4 linked regions of the Drosophila melanogaster genome follow. The protein of the gene in region 2 purifies or fractionates together with the protein of the main gene of each other region. This does not show direct contact. Each region holds a gene or a part of one and is shown on either strand. Other genes may lie near its edges.

Region 1 (8,028 bases), on a different chromosome or scaffold from region 2:
TCTGCTATCGTCAATAAGAAAGTTTCTCGATTTTGCTACCCGATACTTTTTGCTTGCGTACAAGCACGACGCACACACACAGCGCGCACAAACACACAGGCACGCAGAACTCACATACATACGTATTAGCAGCACCCAGTTTTTTGCGCCCAAATTTCTTGGGTTTTTCGAGCCCATTTTTCAACACAAACTCCAAAGACACATACCTCAATGCTTAAATTTAACTTATTATTAAGATTTGTACAACAAATTGTGGTTTGAACAGCTATTTTTATATTTTTCACTGCACTTTTCCTGTTGCAAGGTTGCTTTTGACGAGTCTAGGCTGCGTAGTCGATATATTGCCAGGTATATCGATAGCCTTCGATAACGGAATGCCCTCGAAACAGTGTTGACAGCTATAGACTATACCGTAGCTAAAGGTAATATATGAGTTTAAAATATAAGTTAAAGGTTTACGCTTTTTTAAATTATATTGGATATATTATATTCGATATTATATTATAAGAAAGCGCTAGCTTGCCGTCTAATTTTGACACTAAATATAGATAATCTATATAGATAGATTATAGATAGAAGACATTTGTCTAGAATTCCGCTATTTTGTATCCATTCATTTCACAACGTATTCATCCCTGGTCATTTCGTTTATCTGCGAAATTCTTTTTGTTGTGGATTAGACGTAAATTATTGCCATGTGCAGCATTGGTGAAGATGATTTTGGAGACGAGGGTGCCGCCCACGCCATGGTAGTGGAATCCCTACCATTAGGAATCGTCCTCAGTCCAGGGAATTGCAGCAAATGCGATGTAAACTCCGGCGAGCTCTACAAACTCAACTTCCGAACTGCGGAGTGCCGGGAATGCTTTCTAGCGTATGCGAGGCACAAGTTTCGGGCAGCTCTGGGAGCCGCCAAGATTCTGCCCAGAAACGCCGAGGTGCTTCTTGTCCTGGACGGGTCCGCAGAGTCGCTCGTTCTGCTCGACATGTTGCACTTCGCGCAAACACAGAACACGTTTAAAAGACTCCATTGCAACGCACGTGTGGTCTACGTGGAGGAGCAGCAAGTGCAAGGTCGCGATCCTGTGGACTTGGAAGCTCTGCAGAGATTATCAACACAATACGCACCCTTCGATTTCTATGTGATTGAACTGGGCGCCTTGCCCAGCTCCTTGCAGCGGATCAAGGATTATAGTCCTTTCCTCAACGCAAACAATGAGCTTATCCACAAGCTTCAAAAACTGCGAAGTCTGACAGCTCGCCAGGATTACCTCCAGCAACAGCGCAAGAACCTCATCTGCTCCGTGGCTCAGTGTCTGCAATGTACTCACGTCTTTGAATCTAATATAAGTGTTGACTTAGCCACCCAGCTGCTGACTGCAATAGCGCTAGGTCGTGGCGGTAGTGCCGCCTTGGATGTGGCTCTCCTCGACGATCGGCTGTCTGGAGATGTTAAGCTGCTGCGACCTCTCAAGGACCTAACTGAGCAGGAGATTCAATTTTACATACATGCACAGCGTCTAAAGCCACATTTTCAAAAAGGCTCACGTTATGGGATGGAGCATGGTGAGACTGCCAGCTTACAGAACCTTACATCAGCCTTTGTGGCCAATCTGCAGCAAAACTTCGCCTCCACAGTATCCACAGTGTTCCGAACTGGCGACAAAATAGCTGTCAATTCCAATCCAGAGCAGTCCTCTTGTGTTCACTGTCGATCTACACTGGACTCCGAACTATCCGACACTCTGCTGGCTATTGAGTACTCCAGATCTGTTTCAGAGGCCGGCGTGAGCCTGTACAAAAGCGGACAAGATCTCGAGGGCTTGGCCAAGAAGCGATTGGAGAACAAGGACGGTTTGTGCCACGCATGCCGCGCCATACAGACCGAGTTGGATAGTGGTAACTTGTTGTAGCGCAAGAGGAAATATATATATTTTCTATTAAAACTATATTCTTTTACTACAACTTGGCTAGCTTGTTATTGACAAGAGGCTGCAGTGGCAGATGCCCATCGCAGGGCGGTATATTGGAGGCCAGTACGACCTTGTGGAAGTCGTAGACGATATAGCGATTGTATTGCTTGGACTTTCGATGAAGGTCGTCCACCGATCCCGACAAGATAATTGTTTGTGTACAAGCGCCTGGTTCTTTGGGATAGAGCTCATCACCAGGAAGAACTCCAAACATGCAGTCATCGCAGCGATAGTAGACGGGCTGCACCATTGTGCTTCCATTGCAGCTCCTTTGGCGGGAGAAGTTGAGAAGCTCCTGAAAGCTATAGAAGTTCATCAGACGAGCGATGTCATAGAGCAGCATGAACGGGAGCCAAATAATGGCTTTCTGTGAGCTCGACCAAGCCTCGATCGGACTCAACCAGTGGGCCGAAGCCACCTCGTGCGGTTCCAGAAGCAGCTTTATATTCCTGGTGTACTTATCTAACATGGTGATATAATAAACAGTGTCATATTTCCGATTGGCAGTGGCTGCTGTCCTCCAAATGGACCATTCCTGAAGAGACCAGATATTGGGAATGACTTTATAATGCCGAAAGAGTTCCAGAAACTGTGAGGCATCATTGTGAACCCGATGTTGCCATTCGAAGTGTTCGCTTGACTCGAGAAGCACGGTTCTAGGATGACCCGATTTAGAATCCCATTTTTGTATGTCGTCCTGTTCTGTGCAAATCAAGATGCCCACCTCTTCAAAGGTTTCCCTGAGCGCAGTCAGTCGCAGTGCAATGTCCCTTGAAATATGGTCTCCACCGGATAGAAACTCAGGCCTTGGAGAATCCTGATTGTGCCTACACATTTTTAATTGTTCATCGGTCACCCCAAAGGATTTGAAAAAAGTTATCCATTTCGCAGATTGATCTTCTATAGGATCGAAGACGCCGCCAGGAAAGACGCAATGGTTCAATGCATAGGAAGTTTTTTCAGTTCGTTTAATCAACAATAACTTTAATAAAAGACAATCAGTCAGCAAACGTTTAGAGCTTATAATCTTATACTTAACATACTCTGTAGTCGTAGTCCTCTAAAGAATCCTCTTTGGCGGCTACAATAAGGCTAGCCGAAGGTCTATAAGTTCCAGTTTTAGTAGTCATTATAGTCAATAATCCATTTAATTTCCAAATCCACTTTTTCAAACCTTTGATCTTTGGTCTCAAAGCAATAAGAGCTTGTTGTTAATGCTTTAACGCATTAGTCAAAAGACTCGACCCTCGGATACCTCTGACATTAGGTGAGGGAATGAATTAAAATCCTATATTTCATTGACTTCAGTGATAGAATGTGAAATTTAAATAAGTACTCACATTAATAAATAAACCTAGAAATATTTTATTGGCTTAATAAAATAATTTACTTAAATTAATTTCAGAAGTTCTTTTAATTATAAACTACCCCACCCCACCATCTGACTACAACAGGTGGTGGGTATTTCAAAAGTGTAAACAAAATCAGCTGGTGAGCAATCGATATTACCACCCACTCTATCGATATCGCTGTGTTACCTAAATATGTCGAGGCTTTTGCCCAAAATTCGCTCCTCCTCAAGTTTAATCCTTCTGGCTAAGAACCAAGTTGAAAAGTCCACGTCGTGTGATTACAATGTGAGTTGCAGCTTAACGTTAACTTAGCTTCACCATTCTGACGTAATCTATTCGTCTAGGCCCTCCTCCTTACACGCACGCAGAAGTCCACTTTCATGCCGGAGTCATCCGTGTTTCCTGGCGGAGTTTGCGATGCCTCGGACAGTTCGCCTGCCTGGTTGGAACACTTTCAGAGAAACGAGTTCAGTGCCGCTAAGCTGCGGAACGTGGGCCACGTGAAGGGTCCACGTCCGGATATTTTCCACACCAAGGCAGATAAGAAATCGCTGGATCCGTATGCAACTCAAATAGGTTTTTAGGAAATTGGTGATGTAACATTATTTTCGCACCTAACAGATCCCTAGCTCTGCGGCTGACTGCCATACGAGAAACCTTCGAGGAGTTGGGTATCCTGCTGTGCAGGGACAGCAAATCATTGACCTCCACTAGCGATTATGGAGCGTTCTATGACCAGTTTGACCGCGCCCACTGGCAGCACATCGTCCACAACAATGCCAGCCAGTTCCTGGAGCTCTGCAAGCAGCTGGATGTGCTTCCAGATGTCTGGTCACTTCACGAGTGGTCTGTCTGGCGCACGCCGTCCACGTTTAAGAAGCGCTTCGAGACGGCCTTCTTTATGACTGCCCTGGAACAGGAACCCAGGGTTCACATCGAACCTAATGAGGTCAAGGATTCTGCGGTAGGTGGGTGGGATATTATACGGCACAAGAGCGATACGCGAAACCTTTAAGTTGCATTTAATGTACTATCATTTATATTATTGTAGTGGCGTTCCCCATTGGACTACCTTCAAGCGAGCCTAAGAAAAGAACTCTGGCTGCCGCCTCCACAATTCTATGAACTTTCGCGCTGCCTAAACTTCTCCTCTTTAGATAACCTGCGTCAGTTTGCAGCAGAGCGTGAGGTCAAAGGCATTCAGCTGATTCATCCTGTAGTGCACAAGTGTACAAATGGATTAGTGCATCTCTTGCCAGGAGATGATGCTTACCCCGCCGATCCGGATGCAAGTAACGAAAAAATTGAGATCGATTTGTCAGTCGAGGAATTCCGTTCGAAGACGAATGCTAAATTACATCGATCGGAGCACTGGAACCAGCATCAGTCGCAGCTGATAATTAAGTTTGAGCGGGATGATGGTCAGGTTCATCCATTGGATCCAACAAAATTATAGAGGTAGAGCCGGTTTCCTCTATGTCAGGTGCATTTATCTAGTTTTATAAGTTTTCCAACAATTGATATATAAAGTTGGACATAACACTTTTTAGCAATATACAACTTATAAAGTTCGATTTCCTCCATTTACTCTTGTTTATTACATTGTGTTACAGAACGGTTTAATATACAATTATATAAGATAGATAGAATCGACATGCTGGGATTTGATATAGGAAATCAAGCAATTTCTGAATATGGCATAAAACATCTATCTTCAGTTTTCGTATTAATGCTACTGGCCCTTTCCATACCAAAGTTTGTATAGGTATTCAGCCTCTTCTTGGGATGCATAGACGTTCTCGTATCCTTGATTGCCCTCTGGTTTTGGCCTTAAAATGAAAAGAGTGGTTTTAGTGTGCACCCAGAAGTAGGGCATACAAACTTACTTGTAAATTGGTGCGTGTTCCGGGTGAGTCCAGATCTCGTGGGGCTTCTGGTGTGACGGATTTTTGTGCTTGCAGCCATCCAGCGTCCTTTCAATGTTCTTCTGATTGTTCAGTAGGGCAGCCAGTTTATGATCGACCTGTGAGGTGGCCACCTGCACTCCATGGACAGTGTGCTCGATGCTGTTGAGGCTCTCGGACTGAGTGCGGTTGAGAATGACCAGACCCCACTCCAATTGATTGACTTTGCGATTGGCACGATCTGCCAGAGCCTTAAGTTCGCCCAGATATCCCACTTGACCCACGATGTTGCGCTGCTGCTCCTGGAGGACCTTCGCTTTATTGTCCAAGCCGATGAGTTCCCCTATGACGGCCTGTGATAGCAGCTGCTGAATCTCCGACAGATGCGAGTTGACGGATGAGGCCACTTCATTTAGGTTCTGCTCGTATTTGTTCTGATTGGCAGCCACTTGTTCCAGGGCTTTCCTGATTTCTAGCTCCACTTTGGTAAGATTCCTAATAGAGTTTTCATTCTGACCCTGGATTGCGTTAACAATGGCTGTCAAATTTCCCACTCCAGAGGCCGTGGCTTGGAAGCTGCTTTGAACGTTCGATTCCAGCTTGGCTATGGCAACCTCCAATCCAGCAATGAGTTCGATCTCGTCGCGCTGATGCTTGAACTTCTCTTCAATGCCCTTCTGCACGTCCTTCACTTTCTGCAGCCCATGGTTTAGCTCCTCCGTACCTTTGATCAGCTCCTCCACCTCACTGCGGATCTCATGGATGGAGTCCAGATCCTCAGCTGCAGCCGCGCATAGGTAAATGCATATCGTTAGCAAAGTCAGTCGCACTCTCATGGTGTTTCTCTGATGGCCGCTCCCCGCTGAGTGTCTCTTTTCGATCCGAACCGCAACTTAAGTAGCCCAACTTAAGGTCCAAAACGTGTCTTAGACTGGGTTAAGTTCTATCAGTTCGGTCACCACCCACTTCTCTTCAGCGGGTGCAGGTGCAAATGCTGCTCCAATCTGTAATAGTGTGTTTACGAGAATTTCCCTACTACTAAGAAGATAGTCGCGAACAACTGTTTTATCATCTTGTAAAAAGAAAGAACTAAAGCGAATTATGTTGCATGTAGTCGTACTAAATAGTTATTGGTTCATCGACATCTTGGTAAAGTTAGGGAAAATCCGTGTAGTGTCACGTTTCAAAATTCTTCTTTGTTTCTAAACAGAACAGATTGACCCGGTTTTTTGTGTGCTACGGTAGTAATAACACCACTGAAAAACGTGCCCCAGCTGCTTCTTGTTCAAATTCATTCAGAAAATAGGTCTTCGAAGGTAATGATAACGTAACAAATGTTTTCGGGCATACTGTCTATCGTTTACAAGAAATAAAGTAATAAAGCGAACTAAAGTAATTTTGTAAAAGTTTAATAAGTCTATATTTTGTTTCCTATTTCGAAAACAGCAGTATAATTAATTATCCTTCATATTATCATGCCTATTCAAAAATTGGCCAAGATGCCTTTTGCAAATTTAAACAAACTTGGATCCTTTACTATTAACTTTTAAAAAAGCTTAAAATATTTTTAAAATTTGCTTCTATCAACAAACAATAGCATAGGTTAATAGTAAGGTGAATTTATTTACCTACAAAACATACAAAATAACAAAAATTTCTTCGTATATTTTGAATAGATTTTGAGAAAAGTTTTTGGAAATTGAATGTATATTTTCGCATACGATGCTAAAAGTTGATGCATATGATTTCCATGAAACTATAGCATTTTTTCTCAAAAGTTATTTATTAATTACTTGCTAGGAATATAATCAAAAATGTATTTCCTTTGCTTTTTTTTTATTTATTTATAAAACATAAAAATTGTACAAAGTAATGAATCTGAATTAAAAAAAAAGAGTTTGTTAAATGCTTTGAAAAGTTGTATCAGTTTCAGTAACAGTGGTAGTCCCAGTTAAATCTTCCTTTAGTATCCTTGGGGGAGGGAACTGTCTCCATACCAAATCCTGAAGGATTCTCCTGGCTGGATGGGCTGTGGCTTGTAGATCTCCTCATTGTAAGACTGTGGCTCGTGGTGGGGCTTATGAGGTTGCTCGTGGTTAGGTTTGGGACTGTAATCCACAGGAAGCTTGTAGGATTCAGGCTGGTCATGTGGCAAAGGAACATAGGATGCCGGAGTAGGGTGCTCTTTCTTGGGGCACGGCTTGGGCTTGGTAACGGAGGTGGGAACGTGGGCCGGAGCTGGGTTCCATGGCTGATGGTGGTGAACTGGAGCGGACTGGTATGGGGATCCGTACTCCCACGGCACCGTCTGCCGCCAGGACACGGCGCTGGAGCTCTGATAGTTCTTCTTTGGCTCGGGGGACTGGGCATAGGCGGTAGCTTTGTGGTTTCCAGAGTGCTCTCCTATGAACGACAAGCCATTAATTTGTGATCCTAATCTGGTGGCAATAAGGACCACTTACCGTGCTTGGGCTCCTCCTTGATGCTCCACACCTGTTCCAGATCCACTTGCTTGGGCTTAGGATGAGCATGCTGCGGCTCTGGGACCTCAGCTCCGTAGGTGGGAAGATAGGACTCGTCGTGATGGCCATATTGCGGATAGGGCTGTTGTCGGCTGCACTCTTCCAGACCCAGTTCGATGCGTTTCTGCGAGATGATCAGTTCGCGGAGAACAGCCTCCACTTTCCAGGAACTGTGGGGCTGCAAATGCTTGACTGCATCGATTAGGATGTCCAAGCGCTGCTCCTGAGTGCGATTCAGCTGCTTCAATTGATGCTCCAGCACGTTCAGCTTGAAGTT
Region 2 (7,883 bases):
TTTTTTTTTTGGTGGAAGTTAAGGATTCGCTTCGAAAGAGACAGGTGGGCACAGACGCGATTCGCTTGGCCGTGCTCCTCTAATTGATGATAAAGTTAGTTATTGGCTTGGTATGGGCAGCATGGTATGATGACCTCGTCCTCAGGATGTGGCGAATATAGTCTTGCAGTGGGTGATGAGCGAGGAGAGCATAAAGATCTCCTCCGTCAGGTTGGTCATGTGCTGGGGCGTGGCAATCAGGGTCGGCGCAAATACGGTGGCCAGATTGTGCTCGTTCATCTTGTTAACGGCGTAGTGGGAGGCCACCCTGCGGGCAGAAGGTTTTTTTTTTTACTTAAGATCGCATTGACCATGCTGGCAGTCACACTCACCGCTTCAGGTGCTCCAGCATGTACTGCAGACAGCTGTGGTGGGCGGGCGGCAGGCGACGCACTGCCTCCGCCATGAGCTGGCGCTGCTCGGCCTGCTTGCCGGTGCCTGCAACAGATCAAAATAGATAGAGAGATAGATAGATGTGAATGGCATGGGATGAGGTGCAGCATAGCACCATAAAACTCACGTCCTGCTGCCATAAAGCTGGGATACGCCTGGAATGTGATGAGCGGCACGGGCAGTAGGCGCAGGTAGAGCTTCAGTGTGCCGGCGATCACATTCACATTGCCATACGCCGTCTCCGACATGTCCGTCTTCTCGCCCTCGCGATCCAGGGCGAGTTTGAGTGCCTCGATCTCATCGGCAAAGCCGGAGACCCGATAGATACCCTCCTGCAGCATGCCCCGGGCCTCCACCTCCTCCACGCAGCGGCGCACCACGAAGGGTATCTGGTGGTGGGGCTCCAGCTGCACCATCGTGGTCAGATCCGTGCCAAATACGCCGCGTATGCGCTTCAGATCCGGCACACACTTGGGCGGCACCAGTTCGGAGCACTTGCTGTGCGCCACAAAGCCGCACGCCTCACACTTGACGCCCTGGGCGGTGAATCCCCACAAGAAGTTGGCGCAGAACTCGCACCAATTGAGCCCCTTAAACGTGTGCACCTGTTTGGATCAGAATCTTCCATTAGATGCTATGATCCTTTATAGTTGGCTTCTTATGTCTGAACACACACCTTGAAGTGATGCGGCTTCTCGTAGACCAGCGGCATGGGATCCACGGCTGGAGGCGGTGGCTCCTCCTGCTTCTGCTCCTTCTCCTCGGCTGGCGATTCCTTCGATTCCTTGGCGGCGGCCTTGCCCAGCTCATTGGACAGAGCCCTAAGTTTCCGGCCATTTAAGGTCATGTATGGGCTTTGCTGGTAGCAGTTCTTGGTCTGCTGGTTAATCTGCTGGATGATGGGACTGGCGTGGAGCTGCATGTGAAAGTTGATCAGCCCGTCGGCGACCATGTCGTGCACCGTGTCGAAGCGCTTGTCCTGGCCGCGCAGATAGTGTCCCACGCCGGGCTTATAGAGGAGCTTGTAGTGCTTGGGTCGCTTGTTGAAGCGCAGGCTAAGCGTGTAGTAGCCATCGGATTGGGGGCTCCGGCGTACAAAGTAGCTGCCGTCGCGGGCATTGGCCAGCAGCTGCTCCGCCTCCAGGTGGCCCATCAGGCCATGGTACTCGGAGCCGTATAGCCTGCCCGCCAAGTTATTGGCCTCCACGGCCTCAGCCGTGCTTTTCGCCGGCGGAAGGGGCAGTGTTCGCTGGCAGCGCAGTGGACATGGAGCCGGTGCCTCCAGCTGCAGTTTGTACACTGTGCGTGGGCGGGTAAATGGGTAAGGGGATGGTTAGTCATATCATAAGCTTGTGGGTGGCATACGAGGTGCTTCTCCACTCACATTCCGGCTTCCAAACCTTCTGAACCGGAGAACTGGGCTCGGGGGCACCGCCTACTCCGCCGGATCCACCGGTATTCGCATTTCCGGCGCCCGCCTCCGTGTTCCGGGGCATCCTCCCTCGGATTAGCAGGCCACTTGGTCAAAAGCCACTAAGTAGGCGGCGAATAATTAAGGAATGCAGCCAATTAAGTAAAGTATACAAATAATTTTGTCCGAGCGAGCAGAGCTGCCAGACTGGCGAAAATTAGCGCGGTATTAAAGTCGGAAGAATACTAAATTTAAATGACTATAACTTTAGATAAACTTTATAGTAAGCTTATTGAATTTATTGATAGCTAAACTACATTATATTGTTTTGTAAATACTGTAGTATGCAGTGGTTCTCACTTAATAATCAGTTTAAAAATGTCCGAAAGCTCAGAGCACAAGAGCTCGCAAAAAATACCACAAACAATTTGCTTAATTTCAGTTAAGTTTCCTAAATATTTCAAAAATTTGCATCAGTCGTAATTTTAAGCAGCCATTTATTTGATTGCCATCCGCTTTCAACAAGAAATAAAAACAAGAGCTAAGGTTTCAATTGGTTTAATAGTTTAAGTACGTTTCTTTTGTAAAAAGACCTACACATTCATTGGATCTCATTTCATTATTTATTAAATACAAATATTAAATTATTTAAAAAAAAATAAACATGTAAAACTTCAAAATGCGCATTTAAATACGGACACACGCCACCGACGCATATCAGCTTTAATTTAGAAATACTTTTTCGTGATACTCTGGCTTTCCTTCCTTCCATTGAAGTATACTATGGTAATTCATATATATATATATATAAATGTATCGAGTGTGATTGGTACAAAAGAACGACTGCACTAGTTGATAATTACTGATTAACCTTCTAGTGTCAATTTTAGAATAATACGCACATTCACAGACGCGGTAATTAGTTATGGTTAATCATGAATCTATGTCTACATCGTTGGTTAATTTTGGAAGTGGGAATAGCTCCAATCTCGTAGTTTTAGTTTTTAGTTTTCAGTTATTAGCTGCTTGTGTTAAGCACTTTCCCCTGTATTTGTTATATCTCGATATCCTTGGTCGTTGTCCTTGGTTTTGAATGCTTTAATGCCGGGGTAAGAATGGCTAAGTTGGAATCACGGAGTTGGAACTTCTGGCGGAATGAACGGCTCATCTATGTGTAGCTTGGCAGGTGTGTTTAGTGTTGGTGTGTTGTATTGTGTTGGATATAGCGTTGCTTCTATTGTCGTGTCGCTGGACAGTTGAACAGCTAGAATCGGTCTGATCCTAACCGCTCATGACCATGCGCACGAACTCCTCGTAGTTGATGTTGCCCTGCTGGTCCTCCATGTTGGCCAGCAGCTGCTCGACCTCCTCGTCGGTGAGCTTCTCGCCCAGCGTGGTCAGCAGGTGGCGCAGCTCGGCGGAGGAGATATAACCGCTGGCGTCCTTGTCGAAGTGACGCAGTCCTTCGATGAAATCATCAGCCGTATCGCCCGAGCGGGCCTTGGAGATCGCCTGATAGATGGGCAGGAACACCTCGAACGAGATGCGCTCGTCGGGCTTCAGCTGGTGGGTGCACTTCTTGACATCCGACTCGGTGGGGTTCTGGCCCAGGGCCCTCAGACACTCGCCCACCTGGCTCAGCTGAATTTTGCCATCTCCGCGGTTGTCGAACAGGTTGAAGGCCTCCTGGAATTCTGCGAATGGAAAGTGCGTGCTGATTGTTGGCAGATGCTTTACAAATCTTAATTATTATCGTTACAACTTACAAGAACCCTTCGATAAGGGATATAATATATAATACCTACATAACTACTACATATAAACGTATGGAAATGTGAGGGGGAACTATAGCTTTCTACCACCCACTAAATGGCTAAATGGATCACCTTCCAGTGTGGTAAAGGTTTGCTTCACATGCGCCGTATAGTAATACATATTGAACCACTCCGATGACCGTTTTGCCAGCTACTGACTGCCTGAAACTCCGCCTGCCCGGATTTGGCTGGCCATCGGATCGAAGCGGATCGGATCGGCTCCGATGCAAGCCACCACTCCGCCTTCCTTGGCCATGGTATACCCTCACGTCGCTGGCAAACTTCGTTTCTCTACCGGGAACTGCCTGCTTGCAAGTAAGATAAACAACCCAGAAATCCTAAGTTTCAAAGTTTTTCGTTTCGAGGCGTGACATCGCAAGTCCATTTCGCGTGCAGTTGGATTTAAGCAAGTGATGGTGTAAGTTAACCAAGCTGCAAAAGTTCTGCGATCTACGTGCGTAAATAGAACATTGTGGTTGGGCTCAATATTTTGTTTTCAGATCCTCTAAAGATCTGAGCACTAGAGTGTTCACCATTCGATGAATTGCTGGGATGTGTTCGGTTATCATGCGAATACGAGATCCAAAAATGGCAATAAAAACAAACGAATCCAGCACATTTTTGTCCATTTTAGGCAATGACAAAACGTCGACGGCTGGCTAAAGATTGCAACAAGGTAAGTTGGAATTGGAAAATAAATATATGGTATATGGCTCGTACATAGGCATATGCGGTTGAACGCTGACGTCAGAGTGTCACGAATCCAGCATGACGGAATTATCAGAGACCATTGACTTTGATTAGGTTAAACGAGGGGATTGCGTAAAGATTCGATTCGATTTGATTCGCCATGGAATCGAAATCGTGTTGCATTTTTACTTAGAGAGAAGGTGATGTTCCGTAAATGGAAGCTGGTTTTTTTTTTTTTTGTCAACTGACTGGCTTCTTATCGCATGGCTATTCGGTTTTTGCAACTGCAATTGCAGTTTTATTTGAAACGAGCAGCCGGCGAGTCAGAAAACCGGGTGATTATCCCATTAGACCGCTCTGTTATCTATATTTTATCGCTCACTTCCTTTCGCTTAAACAGTGTTTTTTTTTTTTTTTTGTACTCATACCGAGGTGTTGGTTATGATTATAAGCGACCAGTTTCTGTCTTACAATAACTGCTCTTATGATGACCTACAAACTTGGTTTACACTAGCTTAAGACTAGCACTAGCTTGTTGGCAGAAACTAACTAGCTGATGGTCGAATAAGTTTGTTGCCTGCTATGCATATTATCAATTAACTTGGTGTGGGTTTCGGATAACCGAAAGAACTCGGATTTATCAAGAGATATTAATGCGAAACTTGGTACACAGCCGTGTGTCGCTATTCTATGAAGCTATTCCTTGGACGAACATAATCTGCTGATCAAAGCCCAAAAGTAGCACAGTTTCGATATGTGTTGTCAGCTTGATCTCGGATGTCTTTCGAAGTCATCACGTCAAACTTTGCCTACAGCTGCTCTTAATTAAAGCATTTTGGACAGGGTATTGCAGTGTTTCGGTTTTGGGACTTTCTCGCCGCTTTTTAGGTGAGTCACGATCGTATTCGTATGGCTGCCGTCTGCCTTCCAGCGTATTTGCTTTATCAATGATTCATGCACACCACACAAATGTACGTGCCATCGCTTTCCCGCATTCCAATGCTGTGTGGGAGTGGGAGGGAGAGGGCGCTAGGTGCCAGCGCACATATCAATACTATACACATATATATATCTGTATATATATATATATGCGATTTGCCCGACTTTTGACTCCTGGTACTTGACCCCGTCTGGTCCTCGTGCGATTCAACTCACCAGCCAACTGATCCTCGGTATAAGCTGCCTGCGGGGAGAGAGAGAGGGGAAAGAAAGGAAAACAATGAAGGAAACTTGAGTGCTGGCTTCCAAAGGCGCCGGAAAGCGCACTTCCAGTGCGATCGTAAACAGTAAACAGCGCCGCAATAAACAGCCTGCACTCACCATATCGATTTGTTTTTAGCTATCTGAGGGAAAACAACACAAAATACACGAAATATTGAATATTGAATTCGACGTCGAAACAAAACGCAAGCAAATTCTGAAACGTTGTTGGTGTTAGTGGTCGCCGATAGTGGGCGCAATCGATAGGCCACTCGAAATTCGATAGGTGCGACAACATCGATGAGTGCAGGGAGTTTAGTGAAATCGAGCAGTGCTGCCAGATCGTTTCACAAGAAACCGCCACACGTGCCGCCGATTTGTTTTGATTTTGGATGCATTGGATCCTGGCCAAATTAGTTAGTCCCCGATGAGCACACAGAAGGTGGAGTACGACGCTGCGTTGGGCGGCCGGGTCACACTGCCGTCGCACGTGACCACGTACCATTATGCGGCCGAGGCGCTGCAGGAGATTCGCAATTTGGTGGCCGACTGCCAGGAGACGACGCAGCGGAGCAGCAAGCTAATCTTCCAGACGCTGCCCAAGCACATGCGCCGCCGCGCCATGTCGCACCATCCCAAGCGACTGCCGCGCAAGTACCGACAGGCGCACAAGTCCCAAATGGGCAAAAGCGGCAACCAGCCGGTGAATGGGAAACGACCATCGAGGAAGTACCGCCGGAGACCCAAGAATCTGATGCGTGAGTACGTGCGCCGGCAGAGGCGGCACGTCTGGCTGGAGACGCACATCTGGCACGCGAAGCGATTCCACATGGTTGACCGCTGGGGCCACCGGTTGCCCTACGCCAGCTGCGACAAGACCTACCGCGCTTGCTATCGCGCCAGCGCCGAGCACTGCCTGCTGCAGGACATCTCGTTCTATGGTTGCGTGGAGTTGCGGGGACCCTTGGACATGCTACGCGAGGGATTCGCCCGGCTAACAAGTCCGCAGTGTGGCCTTGGGATCACGGCCCGGACTTTTCTGAGCGGACGACGTGAGGGCAGCGTGGAGTTATTTGAGGATGGCCGCTATCCGTATGGAGCCCTGCAGCGGGCCAGTTTTATGTGGCGGCCACGGCGGGAGGAGGAGGATGAGAAACAGACGAATCACACGCTCTGGCTGTGGCTACATCCCAGTGGCGCTCAAGCTGTTCTAAATCAGCTTATAAGCGTGTTCCAGCTGAAATCCACAAGGCAACAAAAGCTGCCTTTAAACGAGGCTGTGACTGAGGAAAAGATGGATGTGGATAAGATTGAGCCAGTCGAGTTGTCCAAGGAAACATCGCCTGGCAAGAAAAACTCGAAGAAGAAGCCTGAACAGAGGCCCCTGCGCTTCTGGACAAAAACGAAAGCATTCGATCCACAGCCTAGCTACTTCAATTCCGACGGCACTCTCCACTTGGTACTGCTGCAGCGGGAGTTTAATCGTTTCCGTTTGACAGGGCCTAGAGCCCAAAAAGTTCTTTTTGCCAGCTTACGTCCGCATCGAGAAGAGGAGCTCCAGGATAAAGCCAACTACTGTCAGGCAGCCTTGCAGCTGAGCTCGCCCGCCGAACTGCTGTCCAATCTGGTGATGGCCCACCTTGTAGTGGATCCGCGCCTGCAGCGGCCCAAGAAGCGTACGAAAGCAGTCGGCAAAATGGAACAGCCACCATTATCCGCCGGCGATCTTCTCATGAATCAGCCAAAGAGTCTGCCGGAGAGTCCTCTGTGGAGCAAGAAGGCGAGAGAGCGGCTGGCCAAAGGCATTATGTCCGCGCACAAGTACGACCAGCTGCGAGAACAACATGCCGTTGTGCCAGGAGCTCCATGTGCCTTCGAACAGCAAATGCAGGCGCTTCCCGTGATACTTATTCAAAGACCAGGATCTCAGGACCCCAGATACAAGAGATTGGGCTACGGCTGCGGCTGGGATGTGATTGCACCGGCAGGATACGGCATGACCCTCTGGCTAACACTCACCATGTGGGGCGCCAGACCCGGCGGATTGAGGGAACTGGATTCGGTGGCTAGGGAGGCAGGTGCCGAAATACATCTGCCAGATACATTAGCGGGTAAAAAGTGTTTTATACTCTGGCGTATTCTATATTCCCTTAATCATCTCACTTTGCATCTGTTTAGGAGTTCAAAGAGCTGCTGCTTCGGCGGATGAGCTCCGTGCCCGGTATTTCCGTATGCCGCCCAATAAGCGTACCAATTACCGAAAGTTGGCCGTGGTCAGTCCGTTTACTGCACCCTGGAGGCATCTAGTGCGCGACTGGCGTGCATCATTCAGTTCT
Region 3 (6,962 bases), 1.4 Mb from region 2:
GATCCGTCATGAAGGGGTTCTACTTTGGCTGGCATCGTGTAAACAGTGGCATTGACATTTAGCTTGGAGTTGGCCGCCTTAATCAACATGGAAGAAGACGGTTCCTGTTTCTGGAAAACGTCCTCGTTATCCTTCTTATCCTCCGTATCCTCTTTAAACTCCTCCTCCTCCTCCTCCTTCGCTTTAAGCTCCTCCTTATCCTTCTCCCCCTTGTCCGTCTTCGGCGATGAAGACTTGGTATGCGTTAGGGAATCCCCCTTATTCATATTGCTCTCTGTTTGATGGCTGCACATTCCAGTACAACTCTTGACATTCGGTGAATCGCCATTATCCTGGGCAGGGTCATGGGCGTAGTGGACTTGGCTTTGGTCCCGCTTTGGGTCACCAAGTCCAATCCCAGATCCATGTCCTTGCCCCTGATCGCTGCACGTGTTGGTGCTGCTGGTCCTGCTAGCACTGCTGGTACGGCTGGTACTATTGGTAATACTGCCCTCCGGATTCATGTCCAGATTAACTCCCAGATTCACATCCACATCAAGGCCCAGACCCAACTCCATCTCCGTCTCCATCTTATGGTCCAGATCCAAATTTAGGTTCATCCCCGAAGAGATCTTATGTTGTATATGCTGGTGTAGCTGACTCAATTGATTCAATTGGTTTAACTGATGGAACTGATTCAAGTGGCTCAACTGATTGAGCTGGTTCAGTTGGTGATTCAGGTGATGTTGATGCTGAAGGTGATGCTGTGTCTCACCAAGTGATCCAGCCAACTTTTGGCCCATAATCATGCTGTGCCGTGCAGCCAATACTTCCTGGGGCAGATCGCCGAGTTTTAAATGCAAATCCTCCATTGCTCGTCCTCTGTCACAATAGATATTCCCAAAGGCGTGGTATGCTGGTTACAGGACAGTGCTTGCTAATTCGGCTAGTGGACTGATGTATTTGATGGTTGATGATTATTCTCGGTATTATATTTAGAATTTTTGTTGAGCTGCTTCGTTGGACTTTTCTGCGGTTATCTTATTACGGTCTGGAGGAAAACCGGAGAACGGGCAGTCGTCTACACACTTGGGACCAATAATCCAACAGAAGAACACGATACAGATACGATAATTTACAACAGTTTTTAGTATGTTGCCGAAAGATAAATTTTGCCGATCGAATGGAGGGTGTATGTGTTATGTATACCTAGAAAAGGCCCTACGTCAAGTAACGTAGACGGTAAAATCGCTGCCTACTGTGCTTGCTAATGAATTTATTTGTTAATATTACTTTCTAAAAAATATGTTGTACTACTTCTGTTCCCAAACAAAGGAAAGGCCTTAGCCTAAGCGTGTGCAGTACATAAATAATGGAATAAACGGAAAACCTCAACAACATAACAATTTTTGGGTTCCAGTTTTTCGCTTGGGTCGCTTTCGACCCAAAAAGGACGACTTTTCCGCAGGCCAAAACAAGCCGAATCCGTTTATCCAAAGGAGCAACATGTAAAACAATATGCCACCGAGGGCCCAAAAGTTATGCGTTAAGCAAACGAATAAGGGGAGCGCCCCGGGCCTGTTTTTAGACATTGTGATGAGGTGCGAAAATCACAAGAATTGGATTTTGTTCTTGAATTATGGCCAATCTTGCTCAAGGGTTGCTCTTTCCCATTTTGGGGCTCTGGCAATTGGATTGCACTAATTTCGTGTGTTTTTGGGTGCTCTTAAAAAGGCTCAAAGCGGATAATCCGACATTAGTGAGCGACCCTCAAAGAAAACGCAGTTGGCATGGTTGGGTGTTAATGTGCCGCGTCACTTCTCCATTTTGACTCGACTCCGCAGTGTTGGGTAATTTCACAATTTTCAAATTACGCACCACAAAATCTAATTTAGCTGAGTAAAGCCAGTTGACTGGACTAAACACTGGGTCCAGAGTGCGCAGTATTCTGCACACACACACACACACACACAAGATACTAAATGAGTTGCCCTAGTGATTGGTGGGGGGGGGGGGGGGGGTTTGGTTGGCTGTGGAGAAAGAGTTGGTGGTGCTGCATCATTGTAATGTGCTCGCCTCACGCTCGCTTGCCCCGTTCAACGGGCGTGAAAACAACGTAGTCGGTGCTAGGTACCTAGGACCTCTTGAAGCTCCGAGCTCCCAAAGACCAAACAGGTATTATCACAAATGAGGAGGGGGGGAGGGGGGATGTGTGTGTGGGACGGAGACGTAAGGCCAAGGACATAAGCGTGACTAAACCCCAAGCGCAGTGACTTCCGCCTCCCTCGAGGGTGTGGAATTAATGGGGATGGCACGGACCATGGCCGCATTCTGTTTGGACCCTTTAAATGCTAGTCGGTGTCGCAACAATCAGTGAACTCAAACAGTTGCCCGCACACAATCGCTTATTCAGTGAGGAACTAATAGCTTCGCACATTCTGCTAGGGATGGCGAAACAGCAATGCACGCTGATAAGATAGATTTTCAACATAGATTTGAAAAAGCTAAAGCGGTTATCACTAAAATCACATATAATACTGTTAGATAATGATATATTTTATCTATTAGAGTCTATTTTTGCCATCGCTAATCAAACCGAAATGAAGCATTCACACATATGTACTGCACATACATATATACATTGGTATATACTGCAGGTGGGACAGGCGAAAGTAAATGATTTGCGCCCGAAGCTGACACCACATCAAACACAAAGGACGCGATTGAGGTCGCCCGTCTTAGTCAACGTATCCTTGTTGATATGACCGCAAGCTCAAGGCTCTCAAATGCCAGCATCACACCTCAGAGGGGTCGGGTGGAGTCTTGGACATCGGCCACTCTGCCTTCGAGTTGCATTTCAATTAGCCCGTTTAGCTGCTGGCAACCGGTCGAGGGGAGGCAGTGGGGCCCCAATGCAGCTGACACACAAGTCGCCTGGGATTCAGGGATTGCCTTCGCCGCACGTCGATCAGCTGGAAGGAGTGGACTTTGCGGACCGCACCGACCATCAGGCCATCAGGCCAAGCGGCCATCCTGCGTCGTGTGTGGGCTTATCTTACCTGCCAAAGGATCTGCGAAACTAATTGGGGATTACTCGCAGGAATTATTACCTACAGTAAGTTGATTTGCTCGTTACTGTGTTCTTTATAGTCTCAAATGGATTTAGCTCAGAAAGAAATCTGTCTTATATACATTATACTAGCACTTAATGTGTAATTATATTCACTTAAGTTGGTTTTATTTGATTTTAATTCAATTTATTAAAAGTTTACATTTGAAATTTTCTTCTATCAATTAGTTTGCCCTTGCGGCTCAGCATTTAACCTCTTTAGCGCCTGAGTGCTTTTTGGTGTGAGTTCTTCATCGCGACCCTGGTTGTCAACCATGGCAGCACTGGTTCCACTCGAGATCCTCTCCTGCAGCCGACTATGTTCCGGGGCGGCGGTGATGGAGGAACTGGGCTCGTTATGATCGCGATGTTCGTCCGGATCCAGGCGACTGGGCACTATCGAGTAACGATAGTTCTTCACTCGCAGATAGCCGTAGATTAGGGCGTCGTGGAGGCTTACTGTGATCTGGCGCTTCAGCTCCTCGTCGCTGCGATCCAACCGATCGGCGACCGCGTCCATGATCTCGGGTTCGGTGAGCGGATGGTCGGCATCGGCGATCACCTGTAGGATGTTGCTAAACAAATTCGGAATGAGTTTGCGGCGCGGTGCGCGATTGTAGCTGCTGTGCAACATCCTGCGATCTGTGGGCTCTGTGCGGAGACAGTTCCTGCCTAAAATATGTAACTGTTGATGTGACAGATAAATCTACGACTGCTATATCAATCTTTCTTATCAGAGAAGTAATGGAAAGCTTAACTTTAGAGTCGCATTTTTAATTACAGAGAGAACTCTTGGGTAAATAGAACTTTGTTTGCTATTTATTGTAAATTGCAAAAATATTCATTAAAATGCATACTTAGCGTTAAACCCTAAATATTCCACATTTCCACTACTGAACTGTGAGTAGAGTTTCCATACTAATAAGCATAGGCATCAAGTATCTTTAAGTCGCAACCACCGACTTTGGCGTCGAGACAGTAAGTTAGTCAGAGTTTGGTGGGCAGGATAAGATTGTTGGCAGGGGGCAGACAGGCAGACAGTCTGAATATCGATTTACAGTTAAAGTTGCTACTGCTGCTCCTGCTGCGGATGCGGATGCGGATGCTGGGGGAAAGTGTATGTGTATGGGTAATCAAGTACAAATGCGGGGGACTCCAAGTAGAGCCGATGACGCCATAGACACAAAGAAGGAACTGCGACAGGCGCTTCAAATTTGCATGGCATCCGGAGGGGGTGGGGGAGGGGGGTTGTGCAGCGCCCTTCGCAACATTGTTAGTGTAATTTGTTGTTATTGTAGTTGTGTCTGGCACGTGTCGCTCGGAATTTAAGATAGCAGAACATTTTTAGTGAAATGGATGGCTGGATATGGATTGGATGGTTGGGCACGCGAGGCATAACACAATAACCACAACCCGATTGAAATCTCCGCGATTGCAAAATCGCATTTATCTGGCCGCGAGGGGTGGCTAATGAGTTTACCATCCGCAAAACCGCTGTTCACCAGCGCTATGTATCTCAAAGTGCGTTGCATTCTTAATTACACCATCGAATGCTGCGAAAGCTGTCGGCAGCAGGTACGAGATACACAGTGAAGCTTGGTTAAGCTGGCATTAAGTTTTAAATGCTTTCATATATATATAATTAAAATTTTGTATGTAACTTTTGGTTTTATAATTTATAAATTGAACTCTTCACATGCCAATAATTTGATATATATATAAATATATTTCTCAGTGCATCTGTACATGACTGGCTTATACTGGAACCCAATCACCATCTCCATATTCCCCTTAGCAGCTGTCAAGCTTGATTAGCAACTTTGAGCAGTTGGAACGAAGCTAACTTTTGTTTCACATCCATTTCGGTTTCATATTATTTTCCACCCATTCAAACTCCGACTCCAAAGCTAAAACTGAACTCAAAGCTGGAGCTGGAGCTGCAGCTGAGTGTTAATTATGACTGACAGCGTTGGCAAGCGCTACACATTTCAGCACTTGGACACCACTCAACTACTACCCAACCATCCAACATCCGACCGAACGAGCCAACCAGCCAACCAGCCAACCAGCCACCCAACCACCCAACCACCCACGTCCAGTGGCTGCAAGTTTGACTAATCCGGCGCCAGTGATTAGGCCGGGCTCCAAATGCGACTAGTAACAATTAAAGCCAGCCAGTTGTGGCTGGAAAAGTTTATCCCCCCACAAAAATCTCATCATATCACACGGAAACAAATCACGCACTTCGTTACTACTTCAATCGCGAAGATAAATAAGAATTGTAATATGGAATAAGACAATTTAGAGTTTAATAGTAGTTTAGTGTTAAATAGTTTGGATTGTTAGAGATAATATTCAGTTACCACATTATCAAGCATTTTTCGCAGTGCACTCCTCACTCATGCAATTAACTGAAACTTTTATGCTCCATTTGGGGGAGAGGAGTGATGCAAGAATTATGACTCGAAATCAGGCGAGCAGCGCACACATGGAAAATAATTTATTTTACGATTAGCGGCCCCATACCGCTACGCCCTCTTTTCCTTCTGGCCAGCGATGCGAATAAGTGACTGGGCGTCATTTACCCGCTGGTCGGTGAATAAGTGCCATGTGCCATGTGCCCATATGCTATGTACTACGTACTATATGGCAACTGGACATTGTCCATTGGTAAAGCGGCGTCACTGGCGTCAGCAATTCCATTCGACGCCATCACCAGCGGAAGTTTTGCCATTCAAAAGCGACGGGCAATAAAGAGTACAGTGAGTTATCGATGTAAGGGCGACTGTTGGAGGTAATTTTCTCCCCCCGATAAGGATAACATCGAAGTTGGCCTATCTTACCACTTAGCGTAACATAACTATTTCTTTTATGCATTTAATGTCTTAGTTCAGAATTATTGTAGTTTAAAACTATCTTTTGATAATCCCTATTCCACTCTACTAGCTTCTTTTCATATTTTGAATCGCTCTTGCCAGCTATTTGCCACCTTTTTTAGGACGATTAAAGCTTATGAGCGCACATAATTTTCCCACAAAATTTTCTTTACCAAGCAAAATATGTAAGAGTGTGATGTAAGTGGGTAAATATTTGTAAAAACAAGCGAATCGTAAACGTGACGCATACTATTCGCCATCCGGCAAGTTTTCGCCAGTGAAAACGATCCCAAAGTTGGCTCCTAAAGCTCGTCCCGAATTGCCTTTCTTCTTTAGTAAGTAGTTAAGTTAATTTTCAGTGTGGCAACATTATCGCGCGGGTAGGTGAAAGTGCGTGTGAAAGAAGTGAGAGTGAAAGTGAAAGTGAGCCAAGGACAGAGCTGAGGCACACTCAAATAATACTAATAATAATAACAATCTTCGAGGGGGCAGGCATCTTAATGGGAACGCTAAGCGGAAAACTTTTTATGATTTTTATTAGTTTCGTCTCGCGATGGGATGCCAAACAAATGGCCAGTCAGGGTCCCCCTGTCGTAATATATATTGGCATCCGGGGGACTGTATTGGGATTGGATTGAGTGGGGATCGGGGATTCTGGATTGGGCATTGGTCATTGGGGTTTCGCCTTGTCCTCTTGCTGGTCGAGATTTATCAACGCCACACGCGATGTTCGAGTTGCTGGATTGTTGGCTGCATGTCGATATGGATATATATGGGCGGTCAGTTGAGGGGAGAGGAGAGAGCGGCGAGTTCGAGTCCAGCTCCACCCTCGAGGCGTTGCTAATCTAATTTGCAGTTATTGGCGGGCCAGATTAGCACTCACGCACTCAAGGCGCGCGCACATGTGTGTGTAATGCGTATCGCGTGTGCGGAGATTCCGTGCCGAATTGCCTATAATTCGACGCAAAATGCACTCGAAAAAATTTGCTGTTTTTCTA
Region 4 (7,801 bases), on a different chromosome or scaffold from region 2:
AGAATCGTTTCCCGAGTCCATATTGGGGGTTTGGGAAGATATTGATTTGGGTTCTTCCGAAATCGGGAGAAGGGAGTCAGGACGTCTAACGGGATGTGGGGGCCTATTAGTGTTTGGTGGAACTCCAACAACTGAACGTGTAGTTTTCCTAAGGTTGTAAACGAACTTTTTTGACATTAAATTTGAGGTTACTTAGTATATTATGTATGATTGAAAAATAATGAACAAATTTCTTGTTTACTAGAGTGTATGGGTGTCTGTCTTTGGCTTTATATTTTCCCTTTTATATTCTGCAATGTGATTGGTATTAGTATTTGTTTGATATACAAAATTACACAATGAAAGGAAACAAAATATATCTGTATATGTCGACTTCTTTAGTACATTTGTTTTGGTTATTTTGAATGTGCAATACATGAGCGTAGCAACCCATTGTAGAAGAGTGAAAGGCAAGAACACTTGACGATACTCAAGCGTTTTCCCCTTACCTCGGCTACCCAGACATGGGTGCGCCACTACACATGCAGTGTCGTTGTCGTTGTGGTACGCAGAATGAGCCTCGCTTGGTTTGAAATGATTTTTGCTTATGTTTTGATTTTTCGCCGACGTATGGCAGTGTGCGTTTTGAGTGTACAATGTATTAGAGAGGCTTTGGTGCTTTGTTTGTTTACCACGGTGGCATGGTGATCAGCGTTTGATTCCATGCCAACGAGGCGGTACAGTACGTGGATGTATTGGATTGTAGTTGATATTGTATGCTCACATATATAAGTGTATATAGAGGCTTTGGCGATGCGTTGGCCAGCGTATGTAAGTGCCGATGACGTGATGATCAGCGATAGATTCCACGTCAGCGCGGCAGTACGGTACACTTGCACTCTTTTTTTTTTATAAAAACTTATGACGTTTGGCAGAGTATGGACATACCGATGGCGTGGTGATCAGCGATAGATTCCACGTCAGCGCAGCAGTACGGTACACTTGCACTTTTTTTATAAAAATTATGACGTTTGGCAGAGTATGGACATACCGATGGCGTGATGATCAGCGATAGATTCCACGTCAGCGCGGCAGTACGGTACACTTGCACTTTTTTATAAAAATTATGACGTTCGGCAGAGTATGGACATACCGATGGCGTGATGATCAGCGATAGATTCCACGTCAGTGCGGCAGTACGGTACACTTGCACTTTTTTAAAAAAATTATGACGTTCGGCAGAGTATGGACATACCGATGGCGTGATGATCAGCGATAGATTCCACGTCAGCGCGGCAGTACGGTACACTTGCACTTTTTTTTTGTATATTTATTTATTTTACATTTTTCCTCTCTCTTTTTTTTTCCTGTGTTTGAATATATGTTTGAGTTTCATTTGGTACTTCACAACTTCAATTTTGTTTTATAAAAATTTGTTCCTAGTCACTTTCAGTCGACATCTTGCATATAGTTTGTTTCGTTTCTTACATGTTTACTTACAGGTAGGTAATTATTAATAGGTAGGACATCCTACCGGCTGCGCCAGTTAAGTCCGTGATCGAGGGTGGAGCCTTTTGTGAAGATATGATGTGTAAATGTATGAAGGTTTTTAAGTTTCAGCAGATAGTTGTAGTGTGAAGATTTCCAATAAAGAATACGACTGACTTTCTTGAAGTTCAAAATCAGTATGAAGTTTATTGTCAGAGAGTGGCTACTCGAGTCCTCCGTTTTCGTCTTATACATAAGTACATAGGTTCTTAATTGTAAGCATAATGAACATGCCGACTCGGCATGTGGCTGGCTAGCTGGGGACAATGTTGCAGTGCGACTTTTGTGTAATGTCAGCATTCGGCCGGAATGTCAGCATTCGGCCGGATGCGGTGTTCCAGTTGCCGTCTTCCCGGTTGAGTGTCCGATGATTTGTTTAGAGGCGTGGGGGTTTAGGGGGTGGGGTGGTAACTCGGGCAGCCCATCCATTGCTCCGCCCACTTCGTTGCCCACTTTTAGGCAAATTGCTTGAAATTGTTTGTAGGCCGCAGGGCCGGCAAATCGCCAACTGCTTGAGTCGGAAATTAAAAGCAGCACTTGAGCAGCAGCCCCCGGAACCCCTTCTCCAGTCATCCGACACCCGAGCCCTGAACACCCAACAACCTACACCCAACACCCGACACTACGATTCACCCGGCTATATGCTATATCTGGCAAATGAATCAGACCTAACCAGGCTGACACCCTGAACGCTTAGACCTGGCCATAAATTCAATTTGTTGGCTGGCTGCCTCGAGTCACCTGGCAATCCCATTCTCAGCTGCACAGGGAAAAAATGTTAATGGTTTTTGTGGAATTATATAATATATATATTTTTCCATTATAAATAGCTACGAATTGTGATACATATAATATATATATGCTTACAGCTCTAAAGCCACTATACTAATTAAGTATACTAACTTACTTTCTAAAGCATTTCTCTCTGTGTACGAGTGGTGTATTTTGCCTCGTCCTGGACACGTGCTAATGCACAAAGCTGGACGTCATTTGTCAATCACTGCTGCGCGTTTAACACATTTTATCAATTGTCCAGACGTATCCGCTGCTCAATCAGCTGTCCTTCCTCGACCAATGAGTCACAAATAAATGGTCAGAAGGCTTTGGAGCATTTGTGGGCCCACTCCACAATTAGTGACAAATTTAGAATTGACTAATCTGTAATTACATCAAAGCTTTACTTCCCTACAGTTTGGTTATAAAACAGGCCTGCCAACACATTATGGAATGTTCCTTTTCATTCTCATACCTTCGCTATAATCCATCCAGTTCAAAGCATAATAATACCTACCTATATAATACAAACAAAACACACTTATATAAAATAGACACATATTCCATTTAATTATGTTCAGAGGGCTTATCTACATTGACTTCGAGGAACTGCAAGTGCAATGCCATTAATTTGCGATAAGAATTCAGTTCGATTTTCAATAGAACACTCACCCATTAATATACCATTGTAGGAGGGGGTATATTGATTTCCGTCAGAAGCTTGCAACGGGGAAGGGAAACGTTTGCGATCATATAAAGTACATATATATATTTTGGATAAGTATAAACAGCCAAGACGATTTAGCCAGGTCTCTCCTTTTATTCGTCCGTCCGTATCTAAGCAAGCTAGTCATGAAGTTGTTAAGTTATCTGGATAAGTCAATCAAAGTGTTGTTTCTACTGCAGGAAGTATGTATATAATAAGTATATCGGACATGTACATCGGAATATTATGACAAAAAAGTACTTTCATTATATATAATTCATTTTAGTTTTTTGACAACAAATAATTTCAAAGTTAATTGAAGATAATAGAATGATACTTTGTTTTTATTCGGTTATTTGTACGGTATACAGAATTATTTTAATAAGTAGTCGAAAGGGTAAATAAAGCTTCGGCTTGGCGAAGCAAGCTTTCGTTTTGTTAAACTTTCGTTTTCATCTAAGAGGCAAGTTGCTCTGACAGAGTCCTTAAACTCTGGGCTTTCTTGGTAGAAATGCTTCTCAGTAAGCGCATTTGACGTGCTGACCCTTCCGAGAAACCCTTATGATTATGTAATCTACAATTTTAGCTAATGTGAATAAACATTAATGCAAAAGCGATATAAAATACGTTTATTTCAACTGGGAGATATGATCCTACTGACATCATATTTCTCTACGATTTTATTCAAAAAGTGGGATATTGGGGAAGTGATGCCACTCCACACATGTTGTTGGCGTTCCGAGCTAGCTTTAAGTAGCCACTTTCTCCCCAATCGGTTCCATAGGAGTTCTTTATTATCCAGTAGTCTCCCCACTTCCGATGGGTTCCAAAGCCGACTAAAAGAACGGAGTGTGTAAGGTCCTGTCTCTTAGATCTGCACGCCGGAATACTGAGGACTCCACCGGAGTACTGATCGAATTCCTCGTGGAGATGGTCAATGGACACCGCCACGGGTCCAATGTTGTAGACCACCTCCGCCAGTTCCCGTTCATCGTAGTTGCCGAGAGTGACGTAGCCCGACAATGTGCCTGCACTTCTGTCGCTTTTCCACAGGCATTCTCCTGATACAGGCTCGTACGGATAGGATTCCTTTGTGGCGATGCCATGGTCCCTGGTGTAGTTAAAGGCCACGCTCACCCAACCACCGCTGCAGCCGTTATTCGGATAGGGAACACAGTCCACCAAGTGCTTGGGTGAAAGGGGAACCAGATTTCCATACTTCTTCGCCATATGTGCCTCAAGAACACCCGAGGTGGAGAAGGCCCAGCAGCTCAGGCACTCGGTGCCCTGGTCTCCCACTGGCGATATATAGCCGTACTGCCGCCAGTCGATTCCTTCGGTGATCTGGTCGTACCTCTTGTAGTTTACAGTCTCCGTAAGTGCATTGGTACTCGTCTCCAGCGGCGCTGGGATCGACGAGCGATAATTGAAGAGGATTCTCTGATCTGTGTCGGAGAACTTGTTTAGTCCCATCTTGAATGCAACCTTTCCCTGCAAATAGAGCTGGTTGTGGCTTTCCACCGCCAGGACCCTCTGTTCGTATAGCGCCCGGTGGTATTTGTCCCTGTTCCTGTACTGCTTGTTGTACTTAGCCTTGTACTGGTCCCACTCCGTATCGCTGACCGCAGTCAAACCTAGCTCCACAAGGAGCAGAAGGATTAGACCGTGTACTACGGTCAGACGAGGCGTGCCCATTGCGAACTGATCGCGTTTAAAGTAGATTTGTAAATGATTTTGAGCTGGAAAAACTAGAAATCAAGAGCTTTATGTTTGCCTGGCGGCTGCGAATGCATTATCTGGGGTTATTTATGTGAACTGCTTATTGGTTTTGGGAAATTGGAAAAGATTACGATTAAAATGCAATATTTTGCTTATGTATAAAATTATATTATTTATTTATATGGTTTCTGGTTATAGGCTGGTTGTAAGTTACTTCTAATAGCTATAATTATATTAGCTATAATGCTTGCTAAGTTTACTTACTGAAAATTTATCTATATAAAATACATTTTCAAACATTGTAATCAAAATGAATTTGTTTAATATATTATTTTAAAAGTATCAGACCATCAAAAAAAACTTTATAATATAAATATACTCATATGAACTAATCAAGAATCACGCAATAGTTAAGTAAAGGGTAGCGGATAGTCGATTCCATCGATTTAAATTATAAGCAGTTAAGATGGAAAAACCATCCGTCCAGCTCCATATCTCGTGCTTTTCAAGCTGCCAATCAGTTGTAAGTCTGCATTGGGCATGATCTCCCTTCGGTTGCTGGTACTTCAAGTACTTTTCAATCTGCTCTTCGTGGAGTTCGGACTGACCTCGGTGAGCGATGTGGAGTGGGCGCGGTACAAGGCCAGATACAAGAAGCGTTACGGCCTAGAGGACCGATACCACCGGCGAATACTCGAAAAGAGAGTGCAGGCGGTTGCCAATCACAACGGACTCTATTCCCAGGGCAGATCGGGATTCAGGATGGGCTTGAACCAGCTATATATCGCCAGTGGGGAACCAGGGCACCGAGTGCCTGAGCTCCTGGGCCTTCTCCACCTCGGGTGTTCTTGAGGCGCATCTGGCGAAGAAGTACGGAAAGTTGGTGACCTTTCGCCCAAGCACTTGGTGGACTGCTTTCCCTATCCAAACCAGGGCTGCAACGCTGGTTGGGTGAGTGTGGCCTTTAACTTCAAGAGGGATTATGGCATTGCCTCCAAAGAGTCCTATCCCTACAAGCCCGAAAATGGAGAGTGTCGCTGGGACCGCAGAAAAAGTACAGGCACCTTGCGGGAATACGTTACACTAACCAGCAACGATGAAAGGGAATTGGCGAAGGTGGTCTACAAAATTGGACCCGTGGAGGTGTCCATTGACCACCTGCACGAGGAATTCGATCAATACTTTGGTGGCATCTTGAGGACTCCTTCGTGTAGAAATACCAACTACGATCTCAAACACTCTGTTCTTTTAGTTGGCTTTGAAACACATCCGAAATGGGGCGACTACTGGATAATAAAGAACTCCTATGGAACCGAATGGGGAGAAAGCGGCTACTTTAAGCTGGCTCGAAATTGCGAACAACATGTGTGGGGTGGCAACCCTTCCCCAATATCCTGTAATCTAACCATAAATGTCTCCCATACCCTTAAGAAACTATCTTGTTCCTTTTTCAAATAATTTTCCATTCTAGTATTTCCATGACTAGTATTGCGAAACTGGTATTGCCCTGTCTTACCGAAGCTTTAAATTGAGTTAGCCCGTTAAGGTCGATTAGAAGCATGCTGATATGAGGCCGTTAGAGGATTAATTCCGAAACATCTTTAAAGTTTAGGGTAAGCCGTTTAGCCGGCTTTGACCGCCGCAAAAGGGTGTTCCGAATGATTAATCTACCAGGTTTCGGGGATGAGAATCTTGCCAGGAGACGGCGCTAATGTCGCTTTGCATCCCTAGATTTGGCGAATTATAATGCTGCGGTTGGCTGCCTCATTTGTCGGGTGTTTCTTGGCCCCGCGTTGGGCGCCAAATCAAATGCGCAGGCAGCGCGGCCTAGCCCTTTCCCCTGGGAGGCATGAATTTGAGTTATGACTGGAGCGGAACTTTTACGGGCAACCGTAAATTTTTGGGGCACTGGCGCTGCCACTGGCTTAATATTCACACCTTTCGCGGGGGATGGCCCAGTTATTTATGCGCACGCATTATGGTTGATAGTGCGCTGCAGGGGCAGGGGCAGGGGCAGGGGGAGGGGTCCTCTTTTCTGGCTGATTGCTGATGGGTCATGGTTTATTATTTACTCTGAAAGAGACAGAACGACACACCGACCCACTGGCCCGGATCCTGGTCCCGCTGTTATTGTAATTGAAAGGTATAAATAACATTAGGCTAACAGCAAATAAATTTATGTTGTTTATGCTTCCTTTCTATCTCTCGCCGAGTGTGTTTGTACTCGAGCTTCCCTTTGACCTTTGTAAGCACTCTTCAGGGCTGTTGCGTGCCGGGGCTAATCGCTCAGGGGCCATCCGACGTCGAGGAGCGAACTGCCATCCGTCCTGGCCGACGACCCATCATCTTTCATCAATTTATTGGCGTTTCTGGGTCCCACCGAGCCGTTGTTATTTATTATTTACACTACACATTGATTACTATTATTGCTAATATTATTATTTGTATGGCTGCCTCTGGGATCCGCTCCTTATCGCTTATCAAACTCTGTTTGCCGCCCTCTGCACTTTTCGCTTGATTTTGTCCATTTTCGGACCGCATGTTATTTATGAACTTACGACGTTTGCCACGGCCTCAAGGTATTTTTCAAATAATAAATATTCCCTTTTCGGTTTTGCTTCTCTGGCTATTTGCCGCACGTTTTTGGGTCCACCCAAAAAGGGTATGTCAAATTTATCGGGAATAGTGGAACAGTCGATGTTTAAGAAGTAAATGAACTGACAGTTTTTTTTTTACCAGAGTGTATAAGTTTTTAGCCAGTGCTTAAAATTTATAAAATATTAAGTACACGTACATATACTTATTTTTTTACCATTTAAGTTCCATTTTAAAGTAAATTAAATGTACAAATAAATATTTCGTATAGGGTAAATATTTTATTCAAGTAAAGTATCAAGTAATAAAGTAATCAACGCTACTATTTGCAAGATGGTCCACAGAGTATTCGATATTCAAGTGAAATTTTCTCTCTTTATTCGACTTTAACTCTCTTATCTCCTTTGCATATAAGCATTTTTTTATTTATTGCATTTTTATAATTGAATTTGAATAATACATAGACACAGCAGTTGGCCA

Evidence for each region.
Region 1: the proteins of Mlc-c (region 2) and CG10194 purify together in Drosophila melanogaster (affinity purification with mass spectrometry, with the first as the bait; one large-scale study listed by BioGRID). This does not show direct contact.
Region 3: the proteins of Mlc-c (region 2) and CG12691 purify together in Drosophila melanogaster (affinity purification with mass spectrometry, with the first as the bait; one large-scale study listed by BioGRID). This does not show direct contact.
Region 4: the proteins of Mlc-c (region 2) and CtsL3 purify together in Drosophila melanogaster (affinity purification with mass spectrometry, with the first as the bait; one large-scale study listed by BioGRID). This does not show direct contact.

Annotation. Positions count from the first base shown.
Region 1 is NT_033779.5:19,485,561-19,493,588, reverse strand, and holds CG10194 (uncharacterized protein), read left to right. Parts: upstream 1-3,484; 5' UTR 3,485-3,517; coding exon 3,518-3,610; intron 3,611-3,669; coding exon 3,670-3,884; intron 3,885-3,946; coding exon 3,947-4,289; intron 4,290-4,376; coding exon 4,377-4,781; 3' UTR 4,782-4,907; downstream 4,908-8,028. Other genes in the region: Ctu2 (cytosolic thiouridylase subunit 2), read left to right, coding at 696-1,913; CG18094 (uncharacterized protein), read right to left, coding at 1,960-2,955, 3,017-3,103; CG13083 (uncharacterized protein), read right to left, coding at 5,058-5,154, 5,212-6,065; CG13084 (uncharacterized protein), read right to left, coding at 7,193-7,632, 7,692-8,028.
Region 2 is NC_004354.4:5,616,750-5,624,632, forward strand, and holds Mlc-c (myosin light chain cytoplasmic), read right to left. Parts: upstream 3,827-7,883; 5' UTR 3,779-3,826; coding exon 3,730-3,778; intron 3,538-3,729; coding exon 3,125-3,537; 3' UTR 2,387-3,124; downstream 1-2,386. Other genes in the region: RhoGAP5A (Rho GTPase activating protein at 5A), read right to left, coding at 142-307, 372-477, 560-1,037, 1,109-1,731, 1,817-1,928; POP1 ribonuclease P/MRP subunit, read left to right, coding at 5,975-7,658, 7,726-7,883.
Region 3 is NC_004354.4:4,262,920-4,269,881, reverse strand, and holds CG12691 (uncharacterized protein), read right to left. Parts: upstream 3,786-6,962; 5' UTR 3,723-3,785; coding exon 3,270-3,722; 3' UTR 3,213-3,269; downstream 1-3,212. Other genes in the region: CG15572 (uncharacterized protein), read right to left, coding at 1-851.
Region 4 is NT_033777.3:6,022,501-6,030,301, forward strand, and holds CtsL3 (cathepsin L3), read right to left. Parts: upstream 4,739-7,801; 5' UTR 4,703-4,738; coding exon 3,692-4,702; 3' UTR 3,326-3,691; downstream 1-3,325.